Elephas maximus indicus: one gene and its partners. The protein of the gene in region 2 purifies or fractionates together with the protein of the main gene of each other region. This does not show direct contact. Links are inferred from orthologs where the notes say so. Each region holds a gene or a part of one and is shown on either strand. Other genes may lie near its edges. The genes, in order: EVI5, RAB11A and WDR44.

Region 1 (11,228 bases), on a different chromosome or scaffold from region 2:
GATAAAGAAGCGAAAGTTTAGAGAGGTCAATTGTCAGACAATTAGGAGGTGGTGGAGTCAGAATTTTTCTAATTTTAGAGTCTTTTATTTACTTATTTTTGCATGGTGGTGTTTTGTGGGAATGGATAATAACAATTATAATGGCTACCATGTGTTGGGAAACCCTGGTGGTGTAGTGGTTAAGTGCTACAGCTGCTAACTAAAGGGTCGGCAGGCAGTTCAAATCCACCAGGTGCTCCTTGGAAACTCTATGGGGCAGTTCTACCATGTCCTATAGGGTTGCTATGAGTCAGAATCGACTTGACGGCACAGGGTTTTGGATCATGTGTTGAATACTTACGTACCTTGCACATATTATTTCACTTAATTCTCACTTTAATGCTTAAATAGATATTATCTCCAGTTTATGGATGAGAAGACTGGGGTTCAAAGAGGTTAAGTACACTTTTGGCATCCATACTTGAAGTTTCTGGTCATAGTCTAGTCACTTGCATTAGTGCAGAGGTTACTAGTTCCGAGAAAATGGAAAGTTTTAGCGGAATTACTACTGTAATTCCACCGAATTTTATCTTGCTTTAAAACAAATATTTCAGAAAGTTAAGAAATGAATGGACTTCTTTTGGTGGGTAGGATGGAAATCGGCACTTGAATAAAATCATTTCTCAAAAATGTCTCTACTGATCTTCCATTTCAGTTGTGCAGTTTCAAATGCTGTTGTTGGGTTGATGTTTTGAATGTCTACCACCACATACAGAACTGATGTCCAAGCTCTAGATTCAGAAAGTTTGTTCTTTACCACAACCATGGCAGATCCAGTTTCTAGTTGTGCACAAGTGCCAAGAGATGGAAATAGAAATGTGTGCTTCTCAACAGTATTCTTCCTAAGATAGTGTCAGTGTCTTGCAAGCAATGGAACGTGGTGGAGGTAGTGAGGTTAAAACCATCCTTACAACTCCAATGAATGGAGGCCATAGTTTGAGTGCCTTTTGGATTAGTACATTGTGGAAAGCAATGCACCTAATGAGATAGGCTGTTAACGATTTCATTGTGAGCCTTCATTTTTCCAAAGCAAAAAGTTCTTGAATATTAGCTGAGAGGTGCGTGGAGTATTGTTTCTTGTTTTTTCAAGAATAGTACTGCCAATAAAACTTTCTGATGGATGGACACATCCTACATGTGTGTTGTCCAAGACAGTAGCCACTAGCCACATATGGCTATTTTTGAGAACTTGGAATGTGCTAGTGTGACTGAGGAACTGAATTTTTAGTTTAATCTAAATTAATGTAAGTTTAAACGTTAATAACCATATGTGGCTAAGTGGGCTGCTGTATTGTACAACACAGTCCTAAGATGTAGCTGAGACAAGCGGTTCTCTAAGGAAGCCAAATACCGGTTGTCCAGGGTGAGGACGGGATGTTGTTCACCAGTGGGTTTGACTACACTGGTGAGTCAAACTCACTGATGAACAACACCCTGCCTTCTGTATCTCGGGTTGTTTTTTGCCTCTCAGGGAAATGCCTCTGCTTTTCCTTTCTGTGAGCAATGGGGCTCACTCACATGGCTGGTTTAAACACGTTTAGCAGTTGAGAGTATGACAGTCTGGGATTTAACCCTTGCCAGGTTTAGAGGGGATGGAACTGGACCCTCCTTTTGTTTCCCTCCCTGACAGTGACACAAATCAACACTAAGAGTGTGCAGCATCAAAAAATAGAAAGCTTTGAGTTGGTAACTGAATTTACTGCACATAAAGCTCTATCTGAGGAGGGTGTCACTGCCCACTGCCCTTGTGCTTCCTCCCTCTTCTGTCCCTCCTGTGAGGTTCCAGAGTGAATGGCAGAGTAGGGGAGAGCTGGAGCAGGAGTGGTGCTCGTGTGAAATTCACAGCATGGAATTTCACTTACGCAAGTGCTTAAGCACTTGTGAGAGGCTTGGAAGGAGGGCAAGTCAGATCTCTGGTTAGAATCAGCTATTCAGTGAAAAGATAAAGTGTAAGCTCTTCCACCAACGAAATTAATGTGCTCAGGGTGAGTGAAGGAATGGGGTAAACTGGGGATAGGGGTAATGGGTACCAGCTTCTCTCCTCAGGTCTGTGACATGATTTGAGATAACTCAACTTAGGCACTTAGCACAGCAGTACTGATTGTATATATACACATATACGTATGTATAGGTATGTGTATACATATATATATAGACACATACATATATTTATATATATAAAAAAACCCCAAAACCAAACCCATTGCCGTCGAGTCAATTCTGACTCATAGTGACCCTATAGGACAGAGTAGAACTCCCCATAGGGTTTCCAAGGAGCACCTGGTGGATTCGAACTGCCGACCTTTTGGTTAGCAGCCATAGCTCTTAATCACTATGTGACCAAGGTTTCCTGTATATACATACATATATGTGCTCTTAATCACTATGTGACCAAGGTTTCCTGTATATACATACATATATGTGTATATATATATATATGTATGTATATACAGGAAACCTTGGTCACGTAGTGATTAAGAGCTATGTATATATATATATGTATGTATATACAGGAAACCTTGGTCACATAGTGATTAATATATGTATGTATGCCTATTACACACAAAAAATCCCATTGCTATTGAGTCGATTCCGACTCATAGCAACCCTATGTAATCTGCACCAATAAAATCAACCCCAGGCTTTTTCCTTGTCGTTCCTTCAAAATACATTGAGCAGCTATCCTGCAAAGTGCTGGGGCTACTGAGAAGCCTACGACAAAATATGGTTTCTATCGTTGTGAAACTCTTGATTTAGTGGGTAGGAAATAATATATAAGCCAAAAAATTACAATTCCGGAGAGGGGACATAGGGCCTCGTGTTTACCACTTTGGGCATGAGACTGGGTTCAAAGCTCTGCTCCACCACTTTCCAATTGTATATACAGGGGGGCAAGCTACTTAGTATTTGTTAAGTCTCAGTTTCCTCATATGCAAGGAGGTTATGATAATAATATCTGCCTCATGGGAATAATATGAAGATTAAAATAGATGATGTATGTAAAGTAATTAGCCAATACTTGTACACAGTGAGTGCTCAACTATGTTTTAGCTATTATTATTTTCTTAAATTTTGTTTATTTTTATACAGTTTTTAAGGAAAAACTTACCTTCATTACAATGCCTAAATGTTACCTATACATTTTTGATAAAATAATACACCTGTGTAACTCACACCCCTCTCAAGATATTTTTATCAACCAGAAAATTTATGTCCCTTCCTAGACAATCTCTTGCCAGAAGCGACCAGTTTTTTCACCATAGATCAATTTTGCCTTTTCTAGAATTTCTAATAAATGGAATCATATACTCTTTTGTGTCATTTTAGACTAGAAAATACATTCACAGGGCTTGAAATTGAAAAGGTACAAAAAGGCATGCAGTAAAAAGTTTCCTTTCCACCCATTTCCACCAGTCACCCGGTCCTCCTCCCTTGAAGAAACCAATTCTATTAGTTGTCTTGTGGGTTTATCCTGTAGCTGTCATTATTAATTATTATAGGGGTTTATATAAGGTGCTTTAGGGACTCAGATTTTAAAAGGTTCTCCAAAGAATCTTGTGACAGCCCAGCTAAAACAATATAGAATCAGTTTTAAGATAACTGGGGTTATTTTAGACTCTGATTCCAAATGTCACATTTCAGCTTTCTGTAACTTCTGTAACCTTTAAAGCCATGTCTAGTTCAAGTTTTAGCATTCTATGACTCTCATTTATTTTCTGGACAAATATATATATTGAACAAATATGGAAATACAACCTTGAACAAAACAAAGCAAGCTCCTGGCCTCATGGAATTAATAGTCCAGTGGAGGAGTAAAAAAAAAAAAATCATGCAAATAATCATACAATTACACTTTCAGTGCAATTCGGTTCAGGGATGGGGCCAAGGTAGGCAAGTCATAGGGTGTTTCTCTACGGTGGAGACCTGAGCTGAGACCAGAGGATGAGGGTTGGGAGAGTTTTCCTGGCACAGCAAAGCATGTGCAAAGACTCTGTGGAGGAAGGAAGCTGGTAAGTAGGAGAGATTGGAAGAGGATAGCCTGGCTGGAGCAGAAAGCAGAAACAGTAAGATCTGAGTGGTAGCAGAAGTAGAGGGCAGGCAAGGTCCTGATCATGCAAAGTTGGTTAGTTAAGGGGTTTTGTCCAAGAGAATGGAAAGCTATTGAAGTGGTTTATGTAGCGTATTTGTTTTTGAAAAAGCAGGGCTTTGAATGGGTAAGGATGAGAATTTGCATTTCTACCCCAAATATACTGAATCAGAATTTACAGTTTAATAAAACCCCCAGGTGATTCTTATGTATAATTAAGACTGAGACCCACCGCTCTACTAGTGGTTCTCAGATTGGTCCCTAACCAGCAGTATTAGCATCTTCTGGGAACTTGGTAGAAATGCAAATTCTCAGCAGGGGTTCAAACTAGAAGGAAGATGTGAAAAAGTCATTGTGGTTGTTGTGTGGAGAAGAGATCAGAGAGGGGCTAGAGGGGGATGTGGAGCCCTGGTGGTGCAGAGGCTTAAGAGCTTGACTGCTAACTCAAAGCCTGCAGTTCGAGCCCACCAGCTGCTCCTTGAAACTCTATGGGGCAGTTCTACTCTGTCCTACAGGGTCGCTATGAATCTGAATCGACTCCAAGGCAAGGGGTTAGAGGGGACGTGGAGAAACCAATTAGAAGACTAGATCTGCAGCTCCGGACTAGTAGCTTAACTGGAGTGGTGGTGGAGCAGATAGATGGAGAGAAGAGGGCGGGCTCAAGGGAAAAATTGGGAGGTAGAGTCAGCAGGATTTGTTGACATCAAGGACGTCTCTTAGTTTATATGGAAAAATTTGCCTCATAAAATTGCGAATTTTTAAAGTTCTGAGCTGGGTGGAGGCCATTACTTTACTTCCTATGTTTTGGTGTTTCCTAACCTCGTTGAAAAAAAATGGAGTTTTTTTTCCTCTACTGAAATGCTTATTACAGATAACCAGGGAGATATCGGTAATGACTCTTGCATATGCAATGGGATAGGACGAGAATTAGCAGATTGTTTCCGTTCCAAAGTTAAGTACTTTCCTTCTAAGAATTTCTTCGTGGATGTTGGATGGCGGCCCAGTGGACGTCATTTATTTATGCCCAGGCTCTACCCCCTGCCGGACTCTGCATAGACCCTGTGTGAAGAGACTAGTGAGGGTGGAACGCTTTGCAATCACAAGTGCCACTTACACGTTGATTATTGTTATTGAGCCCAGGACGGCCTTTTGAAGCCTGAGCATCTGCGCCCCTCGCCCGCAGCCCAGGAAACAGGAGCGTGGGCGGTGCGGCAGTGCGCGCTCCGCAGCCCTAAGCGCCGGGTGGGATTGCGCTCTGAGGGGGTGCGCCTTCCGCAGCTTTAACATGGAAGGGGCGGTTCAAATGACTTGGGAAGTCGCAATTTGCAGGACTGAGGGCTGGTGCTTTGCAAGAAAAACGGAGAGGGAAGGATTTCCCCGCCCCCGCTTCGCTCCGTCCAATCCCTTCGGCTTCTCCTTTTCTTGGCCGGCCAGCCCGGCCCCTAACCTGCACGAATCTATTATGCGGTAGAGGCGGCCGGGTCTCTTTAAGGCCCTGCCGCGCCTGCGCCTTGGGTTTTCCTGACGCGGCCAGGCCGGACCCTGGAGAACCCGGCAGGCGGACGGGCGAAGGGCCGGACAGTGGTTGAGCCAGCGGCGGCATTCTGAGGGGTGGTGGGGGTCGGCGGAGGCCCCGAGTTCGTGAGTTAGTGCAGCACGCGTGAGACGGCGGCCCACGGATCCAGGAGCCGGGCCGAGGCGCTGGGACGCGCGACGGTGGCGCGGCTGCCGGCTGGATGGGAAGTTAATGTTTACAGCGGAGTTCACCCAACGTCTCCAAGGTGAGCGGCGCTGCGCCAGGCCGGGCGGGCCGCAAGCCCGGGCCCCGCGGGGGCGCACGGCGGGGCCCAGGCGCAGTGGGAAGGGGCTGCCGCCAAACTTGCCGAGTGAGCGGGCAGGCGTGCCAGACCCCGCCGGGGCCTAAGTTCCCTGCGCTCGCCTCCTTGCCTGCCGCTTGTCGGGATCCTCCTTCCGCGGGCGCCGGGGAAGAAACTCACCACCGGCGGGTTTTTCTGTAGAGTCCCAGAGGCGGAGGGACGGGGCAGCTTCGGGGCCCTGCACCCCAGCCCTCGAGGCCAGAAGTGGGTTCTCTCTGGGTGGCCTTGAGGGGATGATACCATCTGCGCCCCTTACCTGCAAAGTTGGAGACTCTATATAGCCTCCTTGGATTTTGCGTATGGCGGTGTCTACAGACAGGTGATGGGCATTCCAGGTGTGCCAGGTGACTCCAAGGATGCACTTGGGGAGGGTTTGTAGCCATCACTGAATCACCTTATGACTAGCGGGGCAAGCCTCAAATTAACCACAGGATTTCCGGTAGGTTGGATTGTGGTGTTGGTGTTGGCTCTAGAGTTGCTGTAACATTTTTGTGTTTTTTTCTGTCTTTTGGACGTCTCCTACCATCTCAGGTAGTATCCTTTCACCAAAGAGTTAACCAAAACTTTTGGAATGGTTCCCTCACTTTTCTCCTGTCTGTCGCTATTGGGGATGTTTTCGAAAAGCAGCCGCATTTTCTTGCAAAGATATCTCTTCTTTCGCTTACAATGTGGAATAATAAACTCCTTTCTTTGCTGTAAGAAGGAATTCCAGTGCTTCATGAAGTTCAAGAAAAATTATCTCTTGGTAGTTTTTACTTTGATTGTGGGCTGGTATGTATTAGTGGCATTTTTGTTCTTTAATTATATTTGTAAAATTTTATCAGTTTACCAGAAGCTTTTTCCTAGATCTCTGAGAACTTTGTGTCAGAGGAATCTTAGAAAGTTTATTGAGGTGCACAGAAAAAGTGCACAATTTTAAGTGTGCAGATAATGAATTTTTATGAAATGAACCACTGCACAAATCAAACCCAGTTGCCATTCTGTCTGTTCTGACTCCTGGCAACCCCATATGTATCAGAGTAGGACTTTGTGCATAGGATTTTCAATGGCTGATTTTTTGGAAGTAGATTGCCAGGACTTATATTTCGAGGCAGCTGTGGATGGACTCAGTCTCCAACCTTTTGGTTAGCAGCCCAGAGCGATAATTGTTTGCACCACCGAAGGACTCCAAGAGTATATACTGTATTCCTGTTGCCTTCCAGTCAAGTTTGACTCATAGTGACCCTATAGGACAGAGTAGAACTGCCCCATAGAGTTTCCAAGACTGTAATCTTTACAAAAGTGGACTGCCACACCTTTCTCCCTCAGAATGGCTAGTGGGTCTGACCATTCCGTTAGCAGCCAAGCGCCTAACCACTGCACCACCAGGACTCTTTCAGATATTGTGTGGAGGAGTGGAATCGCTGGTGTTAGACATGCTGGTGGCGCAAATGGGAAAGGTTGGTGGTTCAGTTCCAACCAGCATTTCCAGTGAGAAAGACCTGGTGATCTGCTCCCATAAGGATTCGAAAAAACAAACGAATGAACAAACTCTTTGTCGTCCAGTCGATTCCGACTCATAGCGACCCTATAGGACAGAGTAGAGCTGCCTCAGAGAGTTTCCAAGGATGGACTGGTAGATTCGAACTGCCAGCCTTTTGGATAGCAGCCTGAGATCTTAGCCACTGTGCCACCAGGGCTCCCTCATAAAGACTACAAACTAGAAAACTCTGTGGGGCTCTTCTGTGCTGTCACAAAGGGTTGCTGTGAGTCGAAAGCCAATTCCATCGCACCTAACAACAAGGTATGTGAATGATCAAACTTCAGTATTCATGCTATTGAACATTTTCCCTAAGTGGTTGTACCAAGTAGCAGGGAATAATAACCCAGTTGCCCTACATCATTGCTGGTGCTTGTCAGTGTAAAATTTTTTACTATTCTGGTAGAGGTGCAGTAATACATCACTATGAGGTACAGTAATATATCACTGTGATTTTATTTTGTGTTTTTTTCCTGATGATTGAGGTTGGGTATCTTTTACTGGCCATTTATATGACTTCATGTGAAGTGTCTGTTTAGTCTTTGCCCAGTTTTCCTTGGTATTCTTTTTTTTATTGATTTGTAATTTTTTATTAGGGATATGTGTTCTTTCTGGATATATATAAACCAGTAGCCTTTGTGTTGATTCCAACTCATGGTGATTCTGTGTGGTACAGAGCAGAACAGCACTGTGGCATTCATGCTGACTTTTCAGAAGCAGATTGTTTAGGGTGTGGGTGTATATCTGTGTGTGTATTTACACACACACACACAGCATTTATCTTTTTCCACTCTGTATCTTGCCGTTTCACTGTTTTAATGAATGGAAGTTCTTACTTTTAATGAAATGTTCTTTATTAATCTTTTCCTTTATGGTTACTACATTTTGTTTCCTAAGAAATCTGCACTTAGCCTAAGAAATGACGATATTTTCCTGTGTTACCTTGTAAAAGTTTGATTGTTTTACTTTTCACTTTTAGGGTGTCCAGTTTACAATAAATTCCAGATAGATGGTAGGGGTCAAGATTCACTTTTTGCCATATGGATATCTATTTGATCCAGCACCATTTACTGAAAATATCCTTGCCCCTCTGTTCTGTGGCACTTTTTCATAAATCAGACTGTATAAGTGTCATTCTGTTTCTGGACACCCTGTTCTGCTCCACTGGTCTATTTGTTATTCTGGCGCTAGTATTACTGTATTAATTAATGTAGCTTTATAATAAGCCTTAATAAGTCGTAGTATAAGCCCTCCAGCTCTGTTCTTTGAGATAATCTTGGCTGTTCTTGGCTCTTAGCATTTCCATAGAAATTTCAGCATCAGCTTGTCAGTTTCCACAAATTTTGGAAATTGGGATCGCATTGGATTTATAGATCAATTTGGAAGAATTAACATCTTAACAATATTAAATCTTCCAATTTATGAACATGGTATATCCCTCCATTTAGGTTTTAGAAAATTTCTCTTAGTGATGTCTTGTAATTTTCTGTGTAGAAGTTTTGCATATCTTTTCTTATTTATTTCTAGGTATTTAATGTTTCTTGATGTGATTGTAAATGATTTTTTAAAACGTTTGTGGCTAGCATATAGACACACAACTGATATTTTTCCCTTGCGGGTGGCCCCTCTGGATTTATGTAAAACAAATCCCAGACATTATTTCATCACTGAATTCAAAGTTTCCATTTAAGACCTAGTCTAAGTTCCACCTTGTATATTCTAGTTTTCCAACTAAATTTTACATGGTATTTTTTTTGCATGGTATCTTCAGTGTCTATCATGAACTAAAGATTTAGTATATTGACAGTTACTATGTTAGGGTCTGAGAGTACAAAGCTAGTAAAATGCTGCCCCTGCCCTTAAAGAGCTTAAAGTCTGAGAGAGAGTGATAGTAGGAATTCAAGAAAAGACCACTGTCTTCCACTGGGGGAAGTGCTGTGATGGAAATTGATCTGGCGGCACACCCAAAAAAACCTGTTGCCCTCGAGTCAGTCACGACTCATAGCGACCCTATAGGACAGGGTAAAACTGTCCCATAGGGTTTCCAAGGAGCAGCTGGTGGATTTGAACTGCCGACCTTTAGGTTAGCAGCCGAACTCTATACCACCAGGGCACACGAAGGGGGTAACTAAATCAAAGAGTGTATGTCTGGCTTTCAGTGTTCTGAATACGAGGCAAAGAAAGAGGGCTGTGGTGGTGGGCTTTACTGTTCACACTACACACTTGTGCTTAATCCTTGGCTTTCAGCCTTGGGCCTCACTCCATTCTACTCTTCTTGAGTCTAGAGTCACTCTAGGTCAGTATTTCCAAAGAATAAATTTATGAAATTGTGGGAATGGTGGTGGGGAACGGAACCTGGAGGGCCTAACTGTACATTATACAGACTTTAAACTACTTCCCTTCTCTTCAGCACCATCCTCTCCCCCACTGGTGATATACCTGGAAGCTCTAAGTCCTGAGCCTCTCTGGGGTTCTGTGAGTGAGGCAAATCAGCTTGCTCTCTGAGCATATTCTCTTCAGCCACCCTGTAGGTTCCAACTTCCTCTCCCCAACTCAGTCACTTATTTCTCCATCTTTTTTCTTGTTTCATGGGTTCCATATCTTATCTTTCTGAAGATGTTAATGATCGTTTCTTTAAGCTTTTTTTTCCCTGCATAGCTTGTTTTTCCAAGTTACTTTTTTTCTCTGTTTGGGTTGGTCCGTCTATTAGCAGTAGAAGCCCTCCTCAGAGGTCTGGGAATCCTTGGTTGTGGGCTCATGATTAAGAGTGGGCAGTTAGAAGCTGATTGGAAGTCCCTGAGCTTGTAGATGGGGCTTATTGATTAGGAGTTTTACTCTGGACTCTAAGGCAGTGGTTCTAAGCCTTGACTGCATGCTGGAATCACACAGGGAACTTTAAAAAATTTCCATGCTACTCCCTTGACCAAGTACATCAGAATCTCTGGCTTAGGACCCAGGTAGCAGTATTTTTAAAATGTAGTTGTGGCTGCATACAGCAAAATGTACAAATCTGAAGTGTATAGTTCAGTAAGTTTTGACATGTATACCAAATCCATTGCCATCGAGTTGATTCCCACTCATAGCGACCCTATAGGACAGAGTAGAACGGCCCCTTAGGGTTTCCAAGGCTGTAATCTTTACGGAAACATACTGCCACATCTTTGTCCCGTGGAATGGCTGGTGAGTTCAAACTGCCGACCTTTTGGTTAGCAGCTGAGCACTTAACCACTGCGCTACCAGGGCTCCTCTTGACAAGTATACCCCCATATAACTAAGATATAGAGCATTGCCAAAACCCTAGAAAATTCCTTCATGTTTGTCTTTCCTGTCCTTTCCACTTCCTGCCCAGAGGTGACCTCTATTTTGATTTCTACTCCCATAGGTCAGCATCAGTGTTTTTAAAATCTGCCCAGGTGATTCCAGTTTGTGACCAAGATTGAGAACCACTGGTCTAGGTAAAAGCTGTGCTGACATGCAGTGGTTAAAGTGATGAGCTGCTAATCAAAAAGTCGGAGATTTGAAACCACCAGTGGCTCCATGGGAGAAAGCTGTGCCAGTCAGCTTCTGTAGAGATGTACAGCCTTGGAAGCCCTGTGGGGTTGCTATCAGTAGGAATCGACTTGACAGCAGTGGATTTGGCTTTGGTTTTGGTCTAGGTAAAGTGTTTGAGGCTGTCTCCTTTGTCCGTGTCTTTCTTTTTGGCCTG
Region 2 (10,998 bases):
AACTAGTTTGTTCTGTAAACCTTCATCTATTAAAAAAAATTTTAAAAAAAAACCAACTTCATGTACTTTTCTCCATCGACTCAAATTTGAATAATTTCTAATCAAAATAGTTTCTCTCATTTAGATGACATTTAATTGTTTTAAAAATGTGATAAACCATATAATCACATCCACACTTCAAGAAAGGAATTTGCAATGACTTTCCTGTTTAGAAAGAAGCCCTGATGGTGCAGTGGTTAATGGCACATGGCTGCTAAACACCAGCAATTTGAACCCACAAGCTGCTCCAAGGAGAAGGATGTGGCAGTCTGCTTCTGTAAAGATTTACAATCTTTGAAATGCTACAGGCAGTTCTACTCTGTCTTACAGGGTTGCTAAGAGTCAGAATTGACTAGATAGCAGTGGGTTTGGTTTGAGTTTCTATTTAGAAGTCCCTGGATAGTGAAACAGTTAGTGTACTCAGCTGATAACCAAAAGGTTGAAGGTTGGAGTCTGCCTCGGAAGGAAGGCCTGGCAATCTACTTCCCAAAAAATCAGCCACTGAAAACCCTACGGAGCACAATTCTACTCTAACACACAAGGGGTTACCATGGATCAGAGTCAACTCAATGGCAACTGGCTGGTTCCTATGTATTCCACAACTAGTATCTTAGGTTAAAAGTACTTCCTCTTTAAACATTTTATAACTATAGCCATCTATGTGGTATTTATATACTAAATAATATAACCAAATTAAACAATAGCATCTAGAGATTAAACATCTATAACCAAAACAAAACTAAATAACATTTCTAAAATAACCTGACAGTATTTATCACCTTTGGTTAACCTCATCTGATGAATTTTAAGTATCATCTCTAAAACCCAATATTAAATTTTGCTCATAATCTATGTCAAACATCAGGCTGCTAAATGCCATAAAAGCAAAATATACATATAAATTTTCATTATTTAACATAAATTCCTATCTCTACCACCACATTTAGTTTTATACTCTCTCCTGCTAATTTACTCATCTGAAATTCAATTTGATGTATCAGTCAGTGTATCTGACCTAAAAGTTACAACCTGACAAAGTCACTAATCATTTTCATACTACTATTCATAAATGAACATGGAGATGCTTCTACTCTTTCAACTATATTCACAGTCCAACCTCACCAAAAGCATCTTTAAAATAAAATGCATTCAATAAGGCCAAAGTCCAGACGAGTTTTTCCAGATTCGGCAGAATTCAAGTTGCTCAACCAAAAGTTGTGAAAGAAAAACTACCAAGATGCAAGACAGCGAAGTTCCTAGGAGCCTCTCTACCAACAAGATGCAAGACAGACAAGATGCAAGACAGCGAAGTTCCTAGGAGCCTTTCTACCAACAAGATGCAAGACAGCGAAGTTCCTAGGAGCCTTTCTACTGACAATCAGCTGATGGTTAATTACCACTGACCTTCGGTGAAACTGAAAAGAAATTGCTGGAAGCAATAGACTGTATATCCAGATATTTTTAGAAAAGGTGATTTCAATTAGACTGGTGTCTATCACATTTATTTATAAACAGGGGCTATGATTGATGCTTACCTCACTTATGGGTCCCATATGGCTTAACACATTGTGTGTAAATACTTGTACAATTTTTATTTAAAAAAAAATATACAGTTTTAAAAAAATAAAACTAATTTGCCCCCATCAAAAGTCTCACTGTTCAAATTAACTAAAGATTAAAGTTCAAGAACAAATTCATCATTTAGAATAATTGTCCTGCTCTCCCCACATCGAATTCCCATTTGGGAATTCTAATCACATCCTATCCTAATCACAAAATCCCTTCATTTTCATCAGTTACAGTTACAAACTATCTCCCAACTCTCTCACTGTTTAGTTTGCTAGGTAAGCCTTCTAACAGACATACAGCTTCTCTGTAGAATAAAACCATTTAAAAATGAAATTATTCTTCCTTCCCTTTAAAATATCATTACTATACTGATTAATAAATATAATCATTACATAAAATATTTTTTAAATATGATTTATAAAAGAATATGGCTAAATAATAAGCATTGAAGTTTTAAAAAACTGATTCACATCTTGTAAAAACTTTAAAAAAGTGAAAATCCTCATCACCACGTTTTTTAAAACACTATTTTAAAACAGCAGAATGTGCAACGAAATGAAATCTTAACATAAAATATAACATAGAAACAAAATACTTTAGAAGCTCCAAGTTTTGAGTTTCTTTACTAATATTTAAATGCTCACATATTTATAACGATTTAAGGTTTAAAAAACTGACAAGAACTTCTTCATTATTATCATTTATCGAAACCTCACAGAAGCTAAAATTTCAGTCTCATTTAATCCTTACAATAGAGTGGTCCTATCTCCTTTTTACAGGTGAGGAAACTGAGGTTCAGGAAGGTTAACTCTCCAAGGTCACAAAGCAAACATACGACCTGAGCCAGGATTTGAATCAAGGTCTGTGCAATTCCAAAGCCCTCAATCATTGTTAGACAGGTGGTCTAATTGCAAAATTATTTTGATATCAAAAGTTTAAATTCCTTAACAGACTGGAAGGGCTGACTCATTAGGGGCAGAGTAAGTGGGAGTATGGAGTAAGGTGTATATAAGCTTATATGTGACAGACTGACTTGATTTGTAAACGTTCACTTAAAGCTCAGTAAAAATTATTAAAAAAAAACTAAAGATTTCCTTTAAAAAAAAGTTTAAATTCCTTAAACCAATTCAGGACAATTAAAATTATTAATTTAAAAAGTTAATGGATTTCTATGCCCATCATTCAAGTTACAGACCAAACAGGAGAAATGCTCTGGACAGTCTGTCTTATTCTAAATTAATTACTTCAAAGGTAGCTAGCTGCCCTCTGCCACTGTGCCTTATTTAAGAAAACAAACCTTTATGACTTTAATGATTAAACCCCCCAAAGTCTCTAGGGACTCACAAAGTAATTTCACATCTCCCCAGATGCCTTCAGCAAGCAGTACATAAAGGAACCTAGGTTTCCCCTTTATATTTGTAAAATGCATTAAGGACCCTCTTCTCTGAAAATGCGTTTCCAGCATGGGGGCGAGGGTGGATACCGAAGGTTGGAACCCCACTATTATACTCCTCTGGGCCATATTTTGGCCCAGAGGAGTAAGTGATGACAAGGGTAGCTAGTATAATAAGATTTGCGAAGTATTGGTGAAGCAAAGAAATTTTTCCTGCCTCCTTTAGTCAGTCATTCCTAGCACCCAATGGCAAAGTCAGAAACACTGCCTAACACTCCGTTTAAACTCCACCCTCCACTGTGAAGCTTTAATAGCAATGGCTTCTTCCTCCCCAGTAATGATCTTTGTTCAGCACATTACTGACGCCTGCCCTCCTAATTCAGAAGCAGAGAAAGCGCATCGGCGTGAGAGAACATTCACTAAACAAAAAAGCATTTACTGTACTATTTTCTCATTGAAAAGTGTATCCTTCATCCTTGATGATTTAAAAAAAAAAAAGCTATTTGGATTCTTTCCGGACTAATAAGCAATTCTTTGTATCCATTTCCCCCACTCTCCAAAATGTTTTGTCCAAGGGCACTACATGTTTCTCTACCTTATAATAAATATTTAATATGACCCAAAAAGCATGCAACCTCCCCTCCCCTTACCCACCACCTTTTGGAAAAGGTATGGAGCCAACTAGGGCTCTTTCCTTCCTGTTCTAAAAACACCAAAAGATTGGATCCTCCCAGCGTTGCAGCAGGAAGCAACCAGACCATAGTGATAAAGCTCGCTAGTATTTGTGCAGCGCACAACCTTTCCTGCTCAGGAACTGGGCCTTCAGGTCTGGCAAGGATAACAGCCACCACCCATCCGCAGCCCCTTCTCACGAGTTATCCCAGGCTGGATGCCGCTGGGAAGGGCCGGCAGGAGGGGGAAGTCCTATCCGTGTGCCGGGTCATTGCGACAAGCGCGCGCCTGGGTGACACAATTCCCCTGGCCCCCCGCCCGCCCCCCGGGGTCGCACCAGAGACGTGGAAGGGAGGGATGGTGGAGGAGAAGCTGCCAGTCCGCGGGGCGGCCCGGGAGGTTACTGACCGCGAGAATAGCAGGGGCAGCGGTGGGGTGCGGGTGGAGGCCACTGACCCGCTCAGATTTTACCAGGGCTTGGCCGGGGGAGGGGGGGGCGAGGGAAGCCGGCTAGGAGGGGCGTCCGGCCGGCTCCGGGCTAAAGAGAAGCAGAGGAGACCTGGAGTGGGAGTCCCCGGGCCGAAGGACAGCCGAAAAGGGAAGCCAAGGGCCTGCCGGAGGGGCTCCCGGAGGGGCTGTGCGCGGAGACCGCTGTACCCTGAGGGGGAGGAGGCGCAAAGGCAGAAAAGGGAGATGGCACGAGGGGCCCTTCGAAGGGGCCTGGGCGCCCCGGGGAAGGAAGGAGGAAAACCCTCCGGGAGAAGGGAGAAGGCAGTCGCCGGGAGGACGCCCAGGGAGGGGTTCCGGGGCTAGCGGGGGCCTACGGGAGGTCGCTAAGATGGGTGTGTGGTGGGGACCCCTTGTGTGAGGGGAGCGAGGCTGGGCTGGGAGACGGCAGGACGAACGGCACAGAGAGGAAGGGCTGAGGCAGGCCCATGTCGGCACAGGGGTGGCCCGCGCGCGGGTCCCCCGGGAGTGTCCCGGGCCCCCGAGGGGGGACTCGGTAGAGAGTGAGAAAGCCCACAGTCTCACCTTTGAAGAGGTAGTCGTACTCGTCGTCGCGGGTGCCCATTGCGCGGCCGAGGAGCGAAGGGGCGGGAGCAGCAGCGGTATCGGTCGGTAGGACCAGGGGGCGTCGCTGCAGGGGTAACCCGAGCGCCGAGCTTCAGATGCCGGACCCGGTAAAGAGCCCCGCCCTGCCGCTGCGCCACTTCCGGCAGGCCCCAGCCCCTCAGGGGAAGTACTTCCGGGGAGGCGGTGCCCCGCCTCCAAGCCCAGAAACGTGGTACGCGGCCAGGGTCGCGACAGCCTTCCGTTTCTTAGTCCTTCAAGGAAGCTCAAATAGGAAAACGAGTCCTGGATGCCCAGCTGATCACGCCGTTAATGGCCTCTCGTTCATTCCATACGCACCTCGCACTGCCTTGCCGGAACCGGCGCTGGGAGCGCATCAGACCCGCCTCCGAATAGTGGGTTTGTGGATGGGGGCGGGGTTTTCTAAGGTTTAGACAGCTGAAGGCGGCTGCATAAGTGTGGCGGTTCCATGGTGTAATGGTTAGCACTCTGGACTCTGAATCCAGCGATCCGAGTTCAAATCTCGGTGGAACCTGCAACGGCTAATTTTTTTCTGATCACAATTATAGTTCGTTTATTCACTAAGTCGTTGTTGTACAACTGCGCTAGGTCTGGCGTTGAACTAAATAGAATGAGAATTTCGCAAAACACAATCTTTGCCTCTGGAGACCTCACAGATTATCCCTTTCAGTTCCATACTATCTGCCACCTCTACATGAGGATCTTGTGAGGAAGGAGCTTCTTCACTTAGCCTCTTTAGCCTCAAACCCTAATTCAAAAGCTTCTTCAGTGAAATTCCTTTTGCTGGAATTTTCTATCTCCAGCTCCATTAAAGAACAGGCAGGCTCTTCTATTCGCTCCTCTCTGGAAATCTCTCAAACTATCTCCAGATGTCACTCAGAGGACTTGGCCCACCCTCCTCATCAAGATTCATCCAGAACTTTGTGAGCCTTTACTATTTGTCAGCCTCTAACTTAAAGTAAGCCCGTTTTCACAATCATTTAACAGGAAGAGCAAAGGACAGCAATTTCCATTTTAGTGGCTTACTTTCCATTTTAGTGAATAGTAAGACTGAAGTGATTTGCCAAGGATCACAGCAGGCCTCCTTATATTTGAGAGTTTTGTAATTCCACAGAGCTCTTTCCCATTTATTGTAACATGCCGTACATACTGCCTATATACAAACTCTCAATTTAGACTTTTGGGGAAGGGTACTTGTAGGCAGAAACAATGGCCCTCCAAAAAAGTCCATGCCCTAAATCCGTGGAAACTGAATATGTTAGGTTACATGGCAAAGAAGAATTAAAGTTGCTAATCAGCTGACCTAAAATAGATGGATTATTCTGGATTAACCATGTGCACCCAGCGTAGTCATAAGAGTCCTTAAAAGTGGAAGAGAGAGGCAGAAGAGGTGAAAGCGATGTAATGTAAGAAGGATGGACCAGCCTTTGCTGGCTTTGAAGGTGAAGGAAGGAAGGGGGCCATGAGCCTAGGGATGAAGAGGCCTCTAGAAGCAAGGAAACGGATTCTCCCCTAAAGCCCCAAATGGAACACAGTGTGTTGACACCTTGATTTTAGCCCAGTGAGACCCATGTCAAACTTCTGACCTACGGAACCATAGATAATAAATTTGTATTGTTTTATGCTACCTAGTTGTGATCATTTCTTATGGCAGCAATATGAAACTAATGCAGTGCCATTGTCAGTGCTTTCTCTGCCAGTATAAAGTGATAGAAGGTTTATCTAAGGTCCTAGGTACTGCCTTGTGCACGGAGTGAACACTATCCACATTAGGGGAGAGGCAGGATGTTACACAAACAATCAAGTATTTACGGGATACCTATTACATGCTACTACAGATTATTCTTAAGTCACAGTCCCAGCCCTACTCAGGGATCAGACAAGATGGGCCCAAGAAAGAGGGAATATCAATAACTAAACAGTTCAGTAGGAATAACTAGTGAGAGTTCTTGTGATAAGTGCCAAAGTTCAGAGAGACTGATATAATTAGGGAGAACGCCCTGGAGGAGGTGGAACTTGCTCCATCCTCTAAAGGAAAACTCTAGGAAGGAAACTCATTTCGGGAAGCAGGAGAAATTAGATGGTAAGAATATGTTGAGCAAGGTGTTGATGCCAGAAGACTTTTGAACTTTTCCCCATAAGTCATTTTTTACAATGCGTGTTTTGAGGTCAATAGTCTTCCTAAAAAGAAGGATTGGCAGATAAGTAGAGCATTACTGAAGAGGAAGAACAAAGTGGGAGGCCTCACACTATCTGATTTTAGAACCTATTACACCACCACAGTAGTCAAAACAGCCTGGTACTGGTACAACAACAGATACATAGACCAATGGAATGGAATTGAGAATCCAAACATAAATTCATCCACCTATGAGCAGCTGGTTTTTAACAAAGGCCCAAAGTCTGTTAAATGGGGGGAAAAAGTCTGTAACAAATGGTGCTGGCATAACTGGATATTCATCTGCAAAAAAATGAAACAAGACCCGTACTTCACACCATGCACAAAAATTAACTCAAAATGGATCAAAGACCTAAATATAAAATCTAAAACGATAAAGATCGTGAAGAAAAAATAGGAACAATGCTAGGAGCCCTAATACATAGCATAAACAGAATACAAAATATAACTAACAATGCATAAATACCAGAAGAGAAACCAGATAACCGGGAGCTCCTAAAAAAGAAGCACTTTTACTCATCAAAAGACTTTGCCAAAAGAGTAAAAAGACAACATACAGACTGGGAAAAAATTTTTTGGCTACGACATACCCACTCAAGGTCTAATCTCTAAAATCTACAAGATACTGCAAAGCCTCAACACCAAAAAACCCATTGCTGTTGAGTTGATTCCGACTCATAGCGACGGGATATGACAGAGTAGAACTGCCCCGTAGGGATTCCAGGCAGCACCTGGTGGATTCCAACTGCCAACCCTTTGGTTAGCAGTCAAGGTCTTGACCACTACACCACCAGGGTTTCCTCGACAACAGAAAAAAAAACCCAATTAAAAAATGGGCAAAGGATATGAACAGACACTTCACCAAAGAAGACATTCAGGCAACTTGTATGAGGGTAGAGAGGCTGGGCTGGGAGACGACAGGAGGAAATGGTCATGATCAGAAATGCAAATCAAAGCTACAGTGAGATACCATCTCACCCCAAAATGGCTAGCACTAATCCAAAAAACACAAAATAATAAATGTTGGAGAGGTTGTGAAGAGACTGGAACACTTACACACTGCTTGTGGGAATGTAAAATGGTACAATCACTTTGGAAATCAATTTGGCTTGTCCTTAAAAAGCTAGAAATAGAAGTACCATATGATCCAGAAATCCCACTCCTTGGAATATATCCTCGAGAAATAAGAGCTGTCACATGAATAGATACATGTACACCCATGTTCATTGCAGCAGTGTTCATAATAGCAAAAAGATGGAAACAACCTAGGTGGCCATCAACAGACAAATGGATAAGCAAATTGTGGTATATACACACAATGGAATACTATGCGACACAATGGAATACTATGCAATGATAAAGATCAATGATGAATCCGCAGGTTGATCACTGATCTTTATCATTGCATAGTGTTCCACTGTGTTCATAATATTCATTCTCACAACATGGATGAATCTGGAAGGCATTATGCTGAGTGAAATTAGTCACAAAAGAACAAATATTGTACGAGACCACTACTAAGAACTCAAGAAAGGGTTTAAACACAGAAGAAAACTTTTTTTGATGGTTACGAGGGAGAGGAGGGAGGGAGGGAAAGGGAAATTCACTAACTAGATAGTAGACAATTATCTTAGGTGAAGGGAAGAACAACACACAATAGAGGGGAAGTCAGCACAACTGGACTAAACCAAAAGCTAAGAAGTTTCCGGAACACAACCAAACACTTTGAGGGACAGAGTAGCAGGGGCTGTAGTCTGGGGACCATGGTTTCAGGGGACATCTAGGTCAATTGGCATAACAAAGTTTATTAAGAAAATGTTCTGCATCCCACTTTGGTGAGTGGCATCTAGGGGTCTTAAAAGCCTAGTGAGCAGCCACCTAAGATGCATCAATTGGTCCCAACCCACTTGGGACAAAGGAAAATGAAGAACATCAAAGACACAAGGAAAATATCAGCCCAAGAGACAAAAGGGCAACATAAACCAGAGACTCCACCAGCCCGAGACCAGAAGAACTAGATGGTGCCTGGCTACCACCAATGACTACCCTGACGGGAAACACAACAGAGAGTCCCTGATGGAGCAGGCGAAAAGTGTGATGCAGAACTCAAATTCACATAGAAAGACCAGACTTAATGATCTGACTGAGATTGAAGGAACCCTCGAAACCATGGCCCCCAGACACTCTGTTAACCCAGAACTAAAACCATTCACTCTTCAGACAAAGATTAGACTGGACTATAAAGCATAAAATAATACTCATGAAGAGTGTGCTTCTTAGTTCAAGCAGATACATGAGACCAACAGGGCAGCACCTGTCCGAAGGCAGGATGAGAAGGAAGAAAGGGACAGCAGCTGGTTGGACGGACACGGGAAACCCGGGGTGGAAAGGAGGAGTGTGCTGTCACATTATAGGGATTGCAACTAGTGCCACATAACAATATGTGTATAAATTTTTGTATGAGAAATTAACTTGAGCTATAAACTTTCATCTAAAGCACACACACACACACACACACACACACACAAAGAAAGAAACCAGAGACAGGACCCCGATTCCTGCCCCAGGGATTACAACCCAGGCTCAGACCAGGCTTTTTTCCAAAAATGTTTTTAATTCCAACATCCGTCTTAATGGCATACTACTGCATACTAATTTATCCAGTAGTTGTTGTTATACTGAAAATGAAAGCTAATGATTTCAGCTACAAACAACTAAGCCAATACTATAAAAATATATTGTAAGACACTGAGAAAAAGAAGGGTTGCATGGTCAAACGCATTGAGAAAAGCTACACATTGTCTCTCTCCTTAGGAACTCCCTTAGTGCAGTGACAATTTAAAGTCTCTAGAAATTCTGCTCTGATGAAATCTTTTTTTTTTTTTTACCTGTATTGAACACAGCATTTACCAGATTCACGAGATCACAGAACTCTCTTCCCATGTGACACCTGTTAGCGTGCCTCTGAACACTTTGGTAGATGCTCTGACATGGAGTCATCATTAAAGATTTGTGAACAGAGGGGTAACTGAGTAATACTGGATTTGTGTCTTAGGGAAAGCCTAAGACGGCTATGGACTGATATATTTTCCTGCACACAAAACTTTTTTAATCAATATAATGCTGTAACTACGATAAAAAGCAGAAATAGGAAAATAATTTGTTATAAAATGACACAGATTTCATATGTTAATGCTTGGGCACAAGGATAATAGAAGACATGATAAAGTAGTCAGATGCTTGCACCTAATAGCAGAATCATCATTCATTCAAAAAATATATATTGAGTACCTACTATGTGTTGGACACTGTCCTACGTTTACTGCCTCACGGAGCTTACATTCTAGCAGAATAGCGGGAGGTAGACACCAAACCATCAACATAATACGTAAGTAAATTGCAAATTACATTACAAAAAGAAAACTCAACCTATTGCCATCAGTTCCGACTCATAACAACCCTACAGGACAAAGTAGAACTGCCCCATAAGGTTTCAAAGGAACAGCAGGTGGATTCAAACTGCTACTTTTTGGTTAGCATCTGGGCTTTTAACCACTGTGCCACCATGGCTCCGCGTGTTACTTTAGAAGGTGGTTAAGTATTATGGAAAAAAAAAAGAATGTGGAACAGGAGTAAGGGAAAACTACAGTGCAGAGCAATAGGAAGGTAGGTAGCAGGTTGCAGTTTTAAAATAGAGTGGTCAGGGTAGGCTTCACTGAGAAAGTAACATTTGAGAGAAGATTTGAAGGAGGTAAGAAAATGAATCATGCAGATATTTGCGGCAACAGTGTCCAGGCAGAGGGAATAGCCAGTGCAGAGGCCCTAAGGTGGAACTTGTCTGGCAAGCTTGTCTGGCTTTAAGGGGCCGGTGAGGTAGGCAGGGGTGGGTAGTATAAGTAGAAGCAGAAGTAGGAGAGAAATGGATCAGAGAGGGCCTTCTAGGCCATGGTAAGGACATTGACTTATACTCTGAGTAAAACAGGAAACCACTAGAAGGTTTATGATCAGAAGAATGACATGATCTGACTTACATTTTAAAAAGGAAAAATCTGGC
Region 3 (10,356 bases), on a different chromosome or scaffold from region 2:
CCAGGCGCTCCTTGGAAACTCTATGGAGCAGTTCTACTCTGTCCTATAGGGTCGCTACGAGTTGGATGTGTATATATAACCCATACTAATTAGCAGGGGCATTCATCTCATACATCATTTACTCAATAAATACTTACCATAATTTCAAATCTATGGCTCTTGACCATGTATCAAAAGTCATTAAGTTTGTTAAATTAAAAGGTAAAATAAAATGCTGGCAAGATTTCTCAAGAACTTAAAGCTTATCAATAAAAGCATATTCTTAAACCTCAATTCAACAGAGTTGGAAGGGCTCTCAGAGTGTAATCTTTCAATTTAAAGAGAAGGAAATGAAATGACTCACAGTCCAGGCCTCTTTTCTACTATACCACAGTTCTTCCTCCTCCCCTTCCCGCACTATCAAAAGATAGCACCTTAACAGAAAACATCTGATTATGAAACTGATCTGGGTTCTAGTCCTGGCTCTGCCATTTATTTGTTGTGGCACCTTGGCCAAGTCATTTCCCCTCTCTGGGCTTGAGTTTTTCACATCATTTGCTATGAAGGGGTTTATCCCTCACGTCCCTTCTAGTGTTAACAAGCTATGATCTTGTAAAACTCCTATCTAATAACACAAAAATACATAATTGCTGAAAGAAAAAGAGGGGATTTCCAGCCAAGAGAACTAAAAAGTTCTAGCTGCTGGTTTTAAATAAATAAGTTCAACTCTGCAGGATGGTACTAAAGCATTTTACTCCAGAATATCTTGGGGAAGGACCCCTCCTTCCCCCTACCCCTCCCCTCGTGTTGGGTAGCTATGATGTACTAGGACAAAATACTGAACTAGGAGTCTGAAGAGATGGTTTCAAATCCCAGCTCTGCCACTTACAAGCTGTGTCTTCTAGGACAACTCATTCAACCTCTCTGAGCCTAAGGTTCCCCATATGAAAAAATAAAAATAAGGAAACTCGAAGTTTAGAGATCAAACAAAATAAAACATTATAAATGTGGTATATACTGCAAAGCTGGGAAAGTGGAGACGATCTACTACTGAGGAAAACCACGCTGTACTGGAATTGAAAACCTTTCTACCAAAAAATTAGGCTAATTTTTAACTTATTAAATTTGCTTTAAAAAAGTAGAATACCAAAGCAGAAGACACCATTGGAGCAGAAATGCAAGAAACAAATCAATTTTAAGAAATGGATTGTGTATTTAGATTCTGCTGGTTAATAAAACATGAAATAACTCTCAACTGCCTACTCGGTTTAGTGAGATTTGGTGAAATGGTCTTTGTATTCCTGAACACACAATAGCAAGCAACATTTCTTAAAGTGCCCAAATTCAGTCTATTAACCTCTTGGAGTTTGTCTAATGTGACAATCCAGTTCATACCAAGGAATAGGAGGTATTTCTGATGACCACATATCTGGTGACACCATCTGTTTCCACTAAATCAACATTTCTCACTGCATTTCCAGGTGGTTCTTAGTTGCCCAGGCAAGTCTCATTACCATAAAAAAAAAAACCAAAAAACTACCCATACCTTATGCAAATAACAAAACCAGAGGAAAGGGATGTAGGAAAATGTAAATGAAGCCAACCTTTTTCTTTCTTCCCAGCACTGCTAATTCTTTTCACATGCAATTCCCTAGATGAGCTTAATTGTCTTCTAAATTCCCTCGGAAACTCTATGGGGCAGTCCTACTGTCCTATAGGAGGATCACTATGAGTCGGAATCGACTCGACCGCACTGGGGTTTTTGGGGAAGACAACATGAAGCCGTGAAATCCACAAACTGACACTGTAGTTTTTATCCGTAGAGCTCAACATACTCAGTATTTGGGCAGGTTAGAATTAAAATTAGAAAGCCGGGTCCCAACACACTTTACTTTTCACCCAGCATCAAAGGATCCAAGTCCTTGAGAACTTGTATTATCCCACTGGGGAAGAAGTGACTATCAATTCTATCAAAATGACTCATCCAGTTTAGATAAATTAAATAGCTCCAAGTTCTGGATACTTACAAAGTAAGCACTGTGTGAAGTTAATAAATTTGCTAATTCCAAGAAAGGAAGGAGAAAGGAATGTTGGAGTACTCTCTTTGTGCCAGGCACTGGACTAGGCAATTCACACAGCTCCGGATGTAATTGTCATTCAAAATTAAACTTATTTTACTCAACGTAAAGGAACAATATCTATGTTGCTCTAAACTGATTACAACAAGTAAACTGTTGTTTCCTCCTCTCCCTCCATCTCACATACATACACACAAAAGTCAATCATTTAACCTGAATTAACAGTTCATTACTTTTGAGAGTTTTGGAAACCACAAAAACAAAATTTAATTTGAAGGCAGCAACACTGAAACCAAATGTATTTTCTATCCTCTACCATCTCGCCATGAACTTGTCTGATGTTGAACCTGAAGGAGATTCAGTGTCATCTCAAGGGTGGCGAAAGTGATCTCAAAATCACCCAAAAATCCAACATAATATGAAGGTTGGTGGCTACACACACATCTGTAATCTACCAATGCACATTTATGACCGCTTTGATAATTTTTCTTGGTCTAGATTATGTCACATACATTAGATTTTAGAACCTACTTCTAGAATGTAGGGACAACTTTATTTGCATCAAACAGGGTCTTTTCTTCCGCAAGGAAGCAGGAGAATTGAAGGCAGGTGAACTCCTGGAACCATATTAGTGCCTTACGTTAAAATACAAATTTTTCCAATTCTCAAGCTCTTACAGCATGAAAATATATTTCATTGCCTCTAGTACCACACAAGTCCATATAAAAGTTCAGCGAAATCGCTTTCAACATTATTTCAACTTTGAAAAGTGAAAGAGTGGGTTACCAGAAATCCTAGTCAAGCGAAGCATTCCAACTACTGTACTTCCTACTCAGGGTCTCTCATGTTAATCAAAAGTAAACTAAAACATCTTGCAGAATTAGATAAAGAGCACAAAGCTGTGGCTCTCCTACCAACCACCAGATTACTCAGCACTTGTTTGTTTGTCTGTAGTCGGTTGTGTACATTTTCCGGCTACCCATATAGACCGCATTCTTCCTAACGATAAGGACCTTGTCTTCGATTTCCTTTGCCTCACGGTAAGGTACTATTTTAATAACACACTGCTGATCTAGAGTACATCAGCTGGAGGACTTTACTAAGTAAATACCCAACCTTTCCTCCACTCCTTTTCTTCCTCTGCAAGGAAAAGAGGACAGCAAATAGGGGAGAGTTACAGCTACCTCTGAAACGAATAGGTAAGTCAGCCGTAAAAGGAAGGAAAAAAAAAAAATGTGAAGCGCAATTACTCCTGCTACTGCCCCTTTAATCTATGGTCTCCGAGGCCAAAACGGACGTTTGAAAGGTAAACCCCAAACCCTGCAAATACAAATCGCTGGCTCTCAAGCACGTCAGCTGTCTCACCTCGCAAAAAGCAGGGCAAGCCAAGAAAAGGGCTCCGAGTGAGCCCCTGGGGCCGTTCATCAGGGAGAGGAGGGAGGGCGCGGTTACTCAGGTGGGTAACTCCCCCTCCCCTGCATCACCCTCCCTAAGGAGCCCCACGTCTGAGGTCTGAAGTGCCGGAGTGTGATTGTGGGAAGCAGCGGGACCTGAGAGAGATATGAGGCACAGAAGCAGCCAGGAAACGGGGATGCTCGGCTTCTGAGCCGTAACTCCAATCACTTACGTTAAGGGGTAGCCGCCCCCTAGGTGCACATCTTCAGGGGCATCGTAGAATTCCTCGGTGTCGCTCTCCGACGCCATTTATAGGACACACCCGCGGGTGAGGGGGCCGGCGCCGCCTGAAGAGAGGGTGACTCTCGTCTCCTCCTTGCCGTCCTCCACCCCGGCGAGACTGGGGAGGTGGGTCCCGGGCAAGGATGAGAAGGGAGCAGAAAATCTGGAGTGAAGAGTCGGTTAGGGACAGAGGGCCGCCCTCAGCTGCCGGGCTGCGGGAATGACCCGGAGAGCGTCCGCCTGAGGAGGCGGCGGTGGTCCGGGGACTACTGCTGCCGCCGCCGCCGCCGCCGCTCCTGGCGCTAGGTGTACAAGGAGAACGAAAGAAGAGGCGGTGGCTCTTCTCCGTGGGGGAGGGCGGGCGCGCCGGCGACAGCAGCTCCAATTTCTCCCGCAGCCGCAATTACAGCAGCTGGGAGAGCTGGTTGTCCGCAAAACACCGACGCGCACCTACCATCGCGAGATTTCGGGAGGTGGACGGTAAGGCGTGGGCGTGGCGAAGAGGAGGCGGGGGCAGTTCTGAGAGGCAACGCTCGGATTACTTTTGCCCCAGAAGCCTATCAAAACGGCCCAAGCGCGTTGAGGGCGTTCGGAGGGGCCGGAAGTAGCCCGGAAGGGAGGTGGTGAGCCTCAATAAGGGAGGAGTCTAGAACTTGCGCAGGAGCAACGTGGTGCCCGGGTTCTGAGGGCGTGTGCACCGATGTTGGTAGGGCTTTGCGGAGTTGCTTTACGTACTTACTCAGCAGTTCCAAAGGGAGGCATTTCAAGAGGGATGATTTTGAGTCTGTTTTTAAAATTTCTCTTATATATGAGGAAATGTTGTCGTGGCCTTTTTGGTTTGCATTTACATTGTCTTAATTCAAGCCCGGAAGATCCCACCTTGGGGCGTAGGCAGGGCCACCACCTCTTGCGTTACGTGAATATCTCGCTGGAAACCCTGGTGGTGTAGTGGTTAAGTCGGCAGTTTGAATCCACCAGGCGCTTCTTGGGAACTCTATGGGGCAGTTCTGCTCTGTCCTATAGGGTCTCTATGAGTCGGAACGGACTCGACGGCAACGAGTTTTGGTGGTATCTACTACAAGATCTCTAACTGAGATCCCTAGATACAGTCCTGCCGGCCAGAGGATAAGATTCATGAGAGACACGCGAGGAGTGTGCCCGTTCCACGGAGTTAGGATGAGTTTATTGCTGGAGCTGGGCCAGTATAGGAAACCCTGGTAGCATAGTGGTTGAGAACTATGGCTGCTAACCAAAAGGTTAGCGGTTCGGATCCACCAGGCACTCCTTGGGAACCGTATGGGGCATTTCTTCCCTGTCCTGTAGGGTCGCTATGAGTCTGACTCGACGGCAACGGGTTTGGCCAGTATAAGGCCTCCAGTTACTTTTTTTTCTACAAATATCTGTCGCTGCCCACACTTAATGTGAGAGAAATTTTTACATACGCCCAAGATGTGGGTCAGTCAAATGGTAACTAATGTACTGAGCAGAAAACAGTTGCAAGGCTAACACCTAGTTAACTTAATTGTGCTCCTCCACTGACCAATGTCCAGTGATGAAAATAAAAAGGTACTTTTTAAAAGACCAAGATGTTCTTTCTTAAACGGGGCATTGACTTTCAAAATGATTACATTAACTTTCCTTATGATCGTGAAGCACAATTATTTCTCCCACTGACATCACGGCTGTCAGCCACTTTGAGCGATTTGCGCAGCCTCAGCTGTTACTCAAAATGGCGGCAGAAAAGATGAGTGGGGCCAGGGACATGGGTTGGCATTTAATTATAGATTGTATTTGATTGCTGTTGGTTTTGTGGATTGATAGAAAAATATTTATAAATGCTGTTTTGTGACACCCATGTAACATAATGAACTGGGGGAAAAGCCTATGTGTTAACTAGTAAACTCAAGTTCTGAATTATTGACTTACAGAGATAAAATAGACTGTAGCAATATGGCAGTTACAGGACTCAATTTGAATCTGTACAAACTCCTGTAACTTGAAAAGTATTCTGTTTTTGTGATAACCTGCTTAATAAAATAGGCTAGATAAAAATTCGACGGCACTGGGTTTTTTGTTTTAGATAAAAATTGGATTTTTAAAAATGTTAAAAACTTAGGTAGTGCCCCGTATGTGATTTACTGTATATAAATATGTATGCAGCACACATAAACATGTATATACACATGCCTACAGATGCCCCTGTATACCCACACCCATATAATCACACATGCCTTCCTATACACATATATGCATATGTATCTACATATTTTTTTGGTTGTTATTGTCATTGCATAGACTATTTGTTTCAGTATTATATATGGCTACTTTTACAGCAGAGTTGAGTAGTTGAGACAGGGACTGTATGGCCTGCAAAACTTAGAATATATACTATCAGGCCTTTTACTCTGGACATGTTGTGTAATGGACTATTACGTAGCTGTGCGCTACTGTTCAAGACTCTGGAAGAAAGCTAACTGGAATTATCTTAAAAAAGGAAATTATTGGCTTGAATGATCAAATACAGTCAGCTGTGCTATAACACTTGTTCGTTCCACTGTGATTGGTATCAGAGAACAATTTGAGCATAACATGAATTTTGTGTTTGCTTAAGCGTGGTTTTGTCAGTAGGAAACACTAGGTGAAATCAGAAAATTGCATCCAACCGAACCAAACTTCATCAGAATACAAAAAAATGCACACACACGCACGTACAGACACTTGCCTCAAGCATCTACCAGCTGCCTCACTTCACCGTGTGTGTTATGTATTAGACCTATCCACATCTCTTGTTAACAATCTTTTGTCTAATTTCAGATAACCCTCCTTCCACTAACCCAAAACTCGTTGCCTTCGAGTTAGTTCTGACTCTTAAGACCCTATAGGACAGAGTAGAACTGCCCCATAGGGTTTCCAAGGCTGTAATCTTTAAGGAAGCAGACTGCCACATCCTTCTCCTGTGGAGTGACTAGTGGGTTCGAACCTCAGACCTTTTGGTTGGCAGCCAAGTGCTTAGCCACTGTGCAAACAGGGCTTCTTCACAGTAACAAGTTATAACCCTTCTAACACCCACTTCCACAGGCAAACTTCAGGTCTTTTTCAAAGTAAAGTGCCATCTTTATTGTAGAATCTATGTATTTCTTAACCATTTTAACATTTGTAAGGAGTCCCTGGGTGGTACAAATGGTTAACGTACTCAACTGCTAACTGAAAGTTTGGAGCTTTGAGAGAGGTACCTTGGAAGAAATGCCTGGCAATCTGCTTCCGAAAAATTAGCCATTGAAAACCCTATAGAGCCAGTTCTACTCTGACACACATGGGGGTATGTCAGAATTGACTGCATGGCAACTGGCTCATCTGGTTAATGTGTAAAATTGTGCTACCATTTTTATTAGGTTCATTTTTTTTATGTGTCACTGACAAAGGTTTTTTTTCCTTCATTTTTTTACTGTGATAAAAATATATCTGATGTTTGCAAAGTCAACAAGTTTTATGTGTATAATATAGTTACATTGATAGTACATCATGTACATCCATTACCACTATCTTTTTCCGAATTATTCTACCACCATTAACAGAAACTCAGTGTCCCCTAAGCCATGACTCCCTTTCCCCGCTCCCTCCCACCCATGGTAACCACTAAGCTTTGGTCTCTATACATTTGTCTATTTCATATACATGGGATCATACAATATTTGTCCTTCCGTAACTGACTTATTTCACTCAGCATAATGTTCTCAGGGTTCATCCATGTTGTAGCATGTATCAGAACTTCATTTCTCTTAATGGCCAAGTAATAAACCATTGTATGTGTATGTCACATTTGGTTTATTCACTTATTTGTTGATGGACAGGTAGGTTGTTGCCACCTTTTGGCTATTGTGAATAGTACTGCAGTGAACATTGGCGTACAGGTTTCTGTTTGCGTTGATGCTTTCAAATCTTTTGGGTATATACCTAGGATTGGAATTGCGAGGTCATATGAACTGATAAGTTTTTGAATGTTCTTTCCCAACTCCATTTTCTGTCTAAGCCATTTTTTTTTTTTTGCCCAGTTTTACGTAATACAGGAATTCTTAGGATTGCATGTGTTGCCTTATAGCAGAATTGACTGTAATCCAGAAGCAGTAGCTTCAGGCATGGTTGTGTCCAGAGCCCAAGTGATGTCAATACTCCTTTGGTCCATCTCTCATCTTTGCTTATCTCTGCTTTTTTTCGTGCTTTGGCTTCAATTTTCCTACTCAGACAGCTTCCATCTTGTAGCCAGGGAAGATGCTGCAGACAATTTCAGTTATTACTATTGTTGCTAGGTGCCATCAAGTCAGTTTCGACTCATAGTGACCCTATGTACAACAGAACAAAACATCACCCAGTCCTGTGCCATCCTCAAAATAGTCGTTATGCTTGAGCCCATTGTTGCAGCCACCATGTCAACCTATCTCGTCATGGGTCTTCCGCTCTTTTGCTGACCCCCTACCTTACCAAACATGATGTCCTTCTCCAGGGACTGGTCCCTCCTGATAACATGCCCAAACTACATGAGGTAAAGTCTCGCTATCCTCGCTTCTAAGGAGCATTCTGGCTGTACTTCTTCCAAGACAGATTTGTTCATTTGTCTGACAGTCCATGGTATATTCAGTATTCTTCATCAACACCATAATTCAAAGGCATCAATTCTTTGGTCTTTCTTATTCATTGTCCAGCTTTTGCATGTATTTGAATAACAGTCGTATTAACTAGACTTCCTTGTAGGCCTATGGATACTATCCTATCCCTGACAGCATTGTACTTCAGGATAGATCTCGAAATGTTCTTTCTGATGATGAATGTGATGCCATTCCTCTTCAATTTGTCATTCCCGAAATAGTAGACCATATGATTGTCCAATTCTTAGTGGCCAGTACTGGTCCATTTCAGCTCACTAATGCCTAGGATATCAATGTTTATGTGTTCCATTTCATTTTTGACAATTTCTAATTTTCTTAGATTCATACTTCATACATTCCACATTCTCATTATTAATGGATGTTTGCAGCTGTTTCTTCTCATTTTAAGTCATGCCACATCAGTAAATGAAGGTCCCAAAAGCTTGACTCCATCCACATCATTAAGGTTGACTCTCCTTTGAGGAAGCAGCTCTTCCCCAGTCGTATTTTGAGTGCATTCCAACCTGAGGGGTTTCATCTTCTGGCACTATATCAGACAGTGTTTTGCTGCTATTCATAAGGTTTTCACTGGCCAATTTTTTTCAGAAGTAGACTGCCAGGTCCTTTTTCCTAGTTTATATTAATCTGGAAGCTCCATTGAAACCTGTGCACTAGGGGTGAACCTGCCGGTACTTGAGATACCGGTGGCATAGCCTCCAGCATCACAGCAACACGCAAGCCACTACAGTATGAGAAACTGACAGACGAGTGGTGGATTATTTTGTAAACAAGGGGAAATATTAAAAGAAAATATATAGCCAAGCATATACAATGTAGATATATATATAAACTTAAAGCCTGAAATTTATTTCTAACACAATACATGACTGTGAGACCTGGGCCTATTGCAGGCATCCCACTTTGCTTCCGGATCATTTTAATAAGTGCCACTGAGAAGATGAACTTGGAAAAATTACCTACAAAGCGAATCTTGGAATGTAATCAGTCGACTGGTTAAAAAGTCATATTTTCTACATTTCAAAGTCATCTTTTCTGGACTGCAGGCCTGAGACATAAAGAGAATAGTAATGGGAATTTTAAAGTAATTGTGAAATGATGCACTGATGTGGAGCTTCTAGAAGCAAAGTATAATGTTAGAGGTACACTTCTAATAATATGGACCAGCCATAATTTTGTTTTTCAAAATAAGTAAGTAGTATACATGGCCTTATCTAAAGGGAGATGAACTAAGACATATGAACTTTATGCTTCAAAATATCACCTCAGATCATAAACAGGAAACATCTTTTGTTTCTCTTCCCATGGCATCTTTATGTATGTATTTTAATTGCCAAAGCTTAATCAAATGGCAAACATTTATTTAGAAATATGAGTCATCATGAGTAAACACACACAGGGACACTCATACACACATTGAACAACAACAACTGAATTTCATGGAATCTTACAATTGGAAGGGACTTTCAAGCTCACTGGTCCATACCTCATATCTGATGCATGAATTCATTCCATAAACTTCCCCAAGCTTACTATTTACCCACTCCATTTTTTATATGTTTTTTAAAAATGTTATTGTGGTGATATATATATATATATATAAAACATAAAATTTGCCGTTTTATTCCATTTTAAGTGTATTATTCAGTGACATTGATTGCATTCACAATGCAACCATCACCTCTATCCATTTCCAACCCTTTTTCATCACTCCAAACAGAAACTCAGTACCCATTAAGCAATAACTCCCTATTCTCCATACTCCCCCACCCCCACCCCTGGTAATTACTAATCTGCTTTTGTCTCTATGCGTTTGCCTTTTCTAGATAGTTAATTCATTTTTGATAAATCCAAATGTTAGCAAAGTTCTTCATTGTATTTAGCCCAAATCTACATTTGTGTAATTTCTATGTACTGGTTATAATTCTGTCTTCTAAGTCCGTACAAAACCTTTCATCTGT

The links.
Region 1: the proteins of RAB11A (region 2) and EVI5 purify together in Homo sapiens (co-immunoprecipitation; 3 studies listed by BioGRID and IntAct, with this or other methods). This does not show direct contact. The link is inferred for Elephas maximus indicus from reciprocal best matches to the Homo sapiens genes RAB11A and EVI5.
Region 3: the proteins of RAB11A (region 2) and WDR44 purify together in Homo sapiens (affinity purification with mass spectrometry; 3 studies listed by BioGRID and IntAct, counting the BioPlex papers as one, with this or other methods). This does not show direct contact. The link is inferred for Elephas maximus indicus from reciprocal best matches to the Homo sapiens genes RAB11A and WDR44.

What each region holds. Positions count from the first base shown.
Region 1 is NC_064821.1:149,454,744-149,465,971, forward strand, and holds the start of EVI5 (ecotropic viral integration site 5 protein homolog), read left to right. Parts: upstream 1-5,956; 5' UTR 5,957-6,400; coding exon 6,401-6,442; intron 6,443-11,228. UniProt on the Homo sapiens protein: Functions as a regulator of cell cycle progression by stabilizing the FBXO5 protein and promoting cyclin-A accumulation during interphase. May play a role in cytokinesis.
Region 2 is NC_064831.1:55,953,338-55,964,335, reverse strand, and holds the start of RAB11A (ras-related protein Rab-11A), read right to left. Parts: upstream 4,892-10,998; 5' UTR 4,746-4,891; coding exon 4,706-4,745; intron 1-4,705. UniProt on the Homo sapiens protein: The small GTPases Rab are key regulators of intracellular membrane trafficking, from the formation of transport vesicles to their fusion with membranes.
Region 3 is NC_064846.1:38,683,527-38,693,882, forward strand, and holds the start of WDR44 (WD repeat-containing protein 44), read right to left. Parts: upstream 4,192-10,356; 5' UTR 3,762-4,191; coding exon 3,685-3,761; intron 1-3,684. UniProt on the Homo sapiens protein: Downstream effector for Rab11 which regulates Rab11 intracellular membrane trafficking functions such as endocytic recycling, intracellular ciliogenesis and protein export.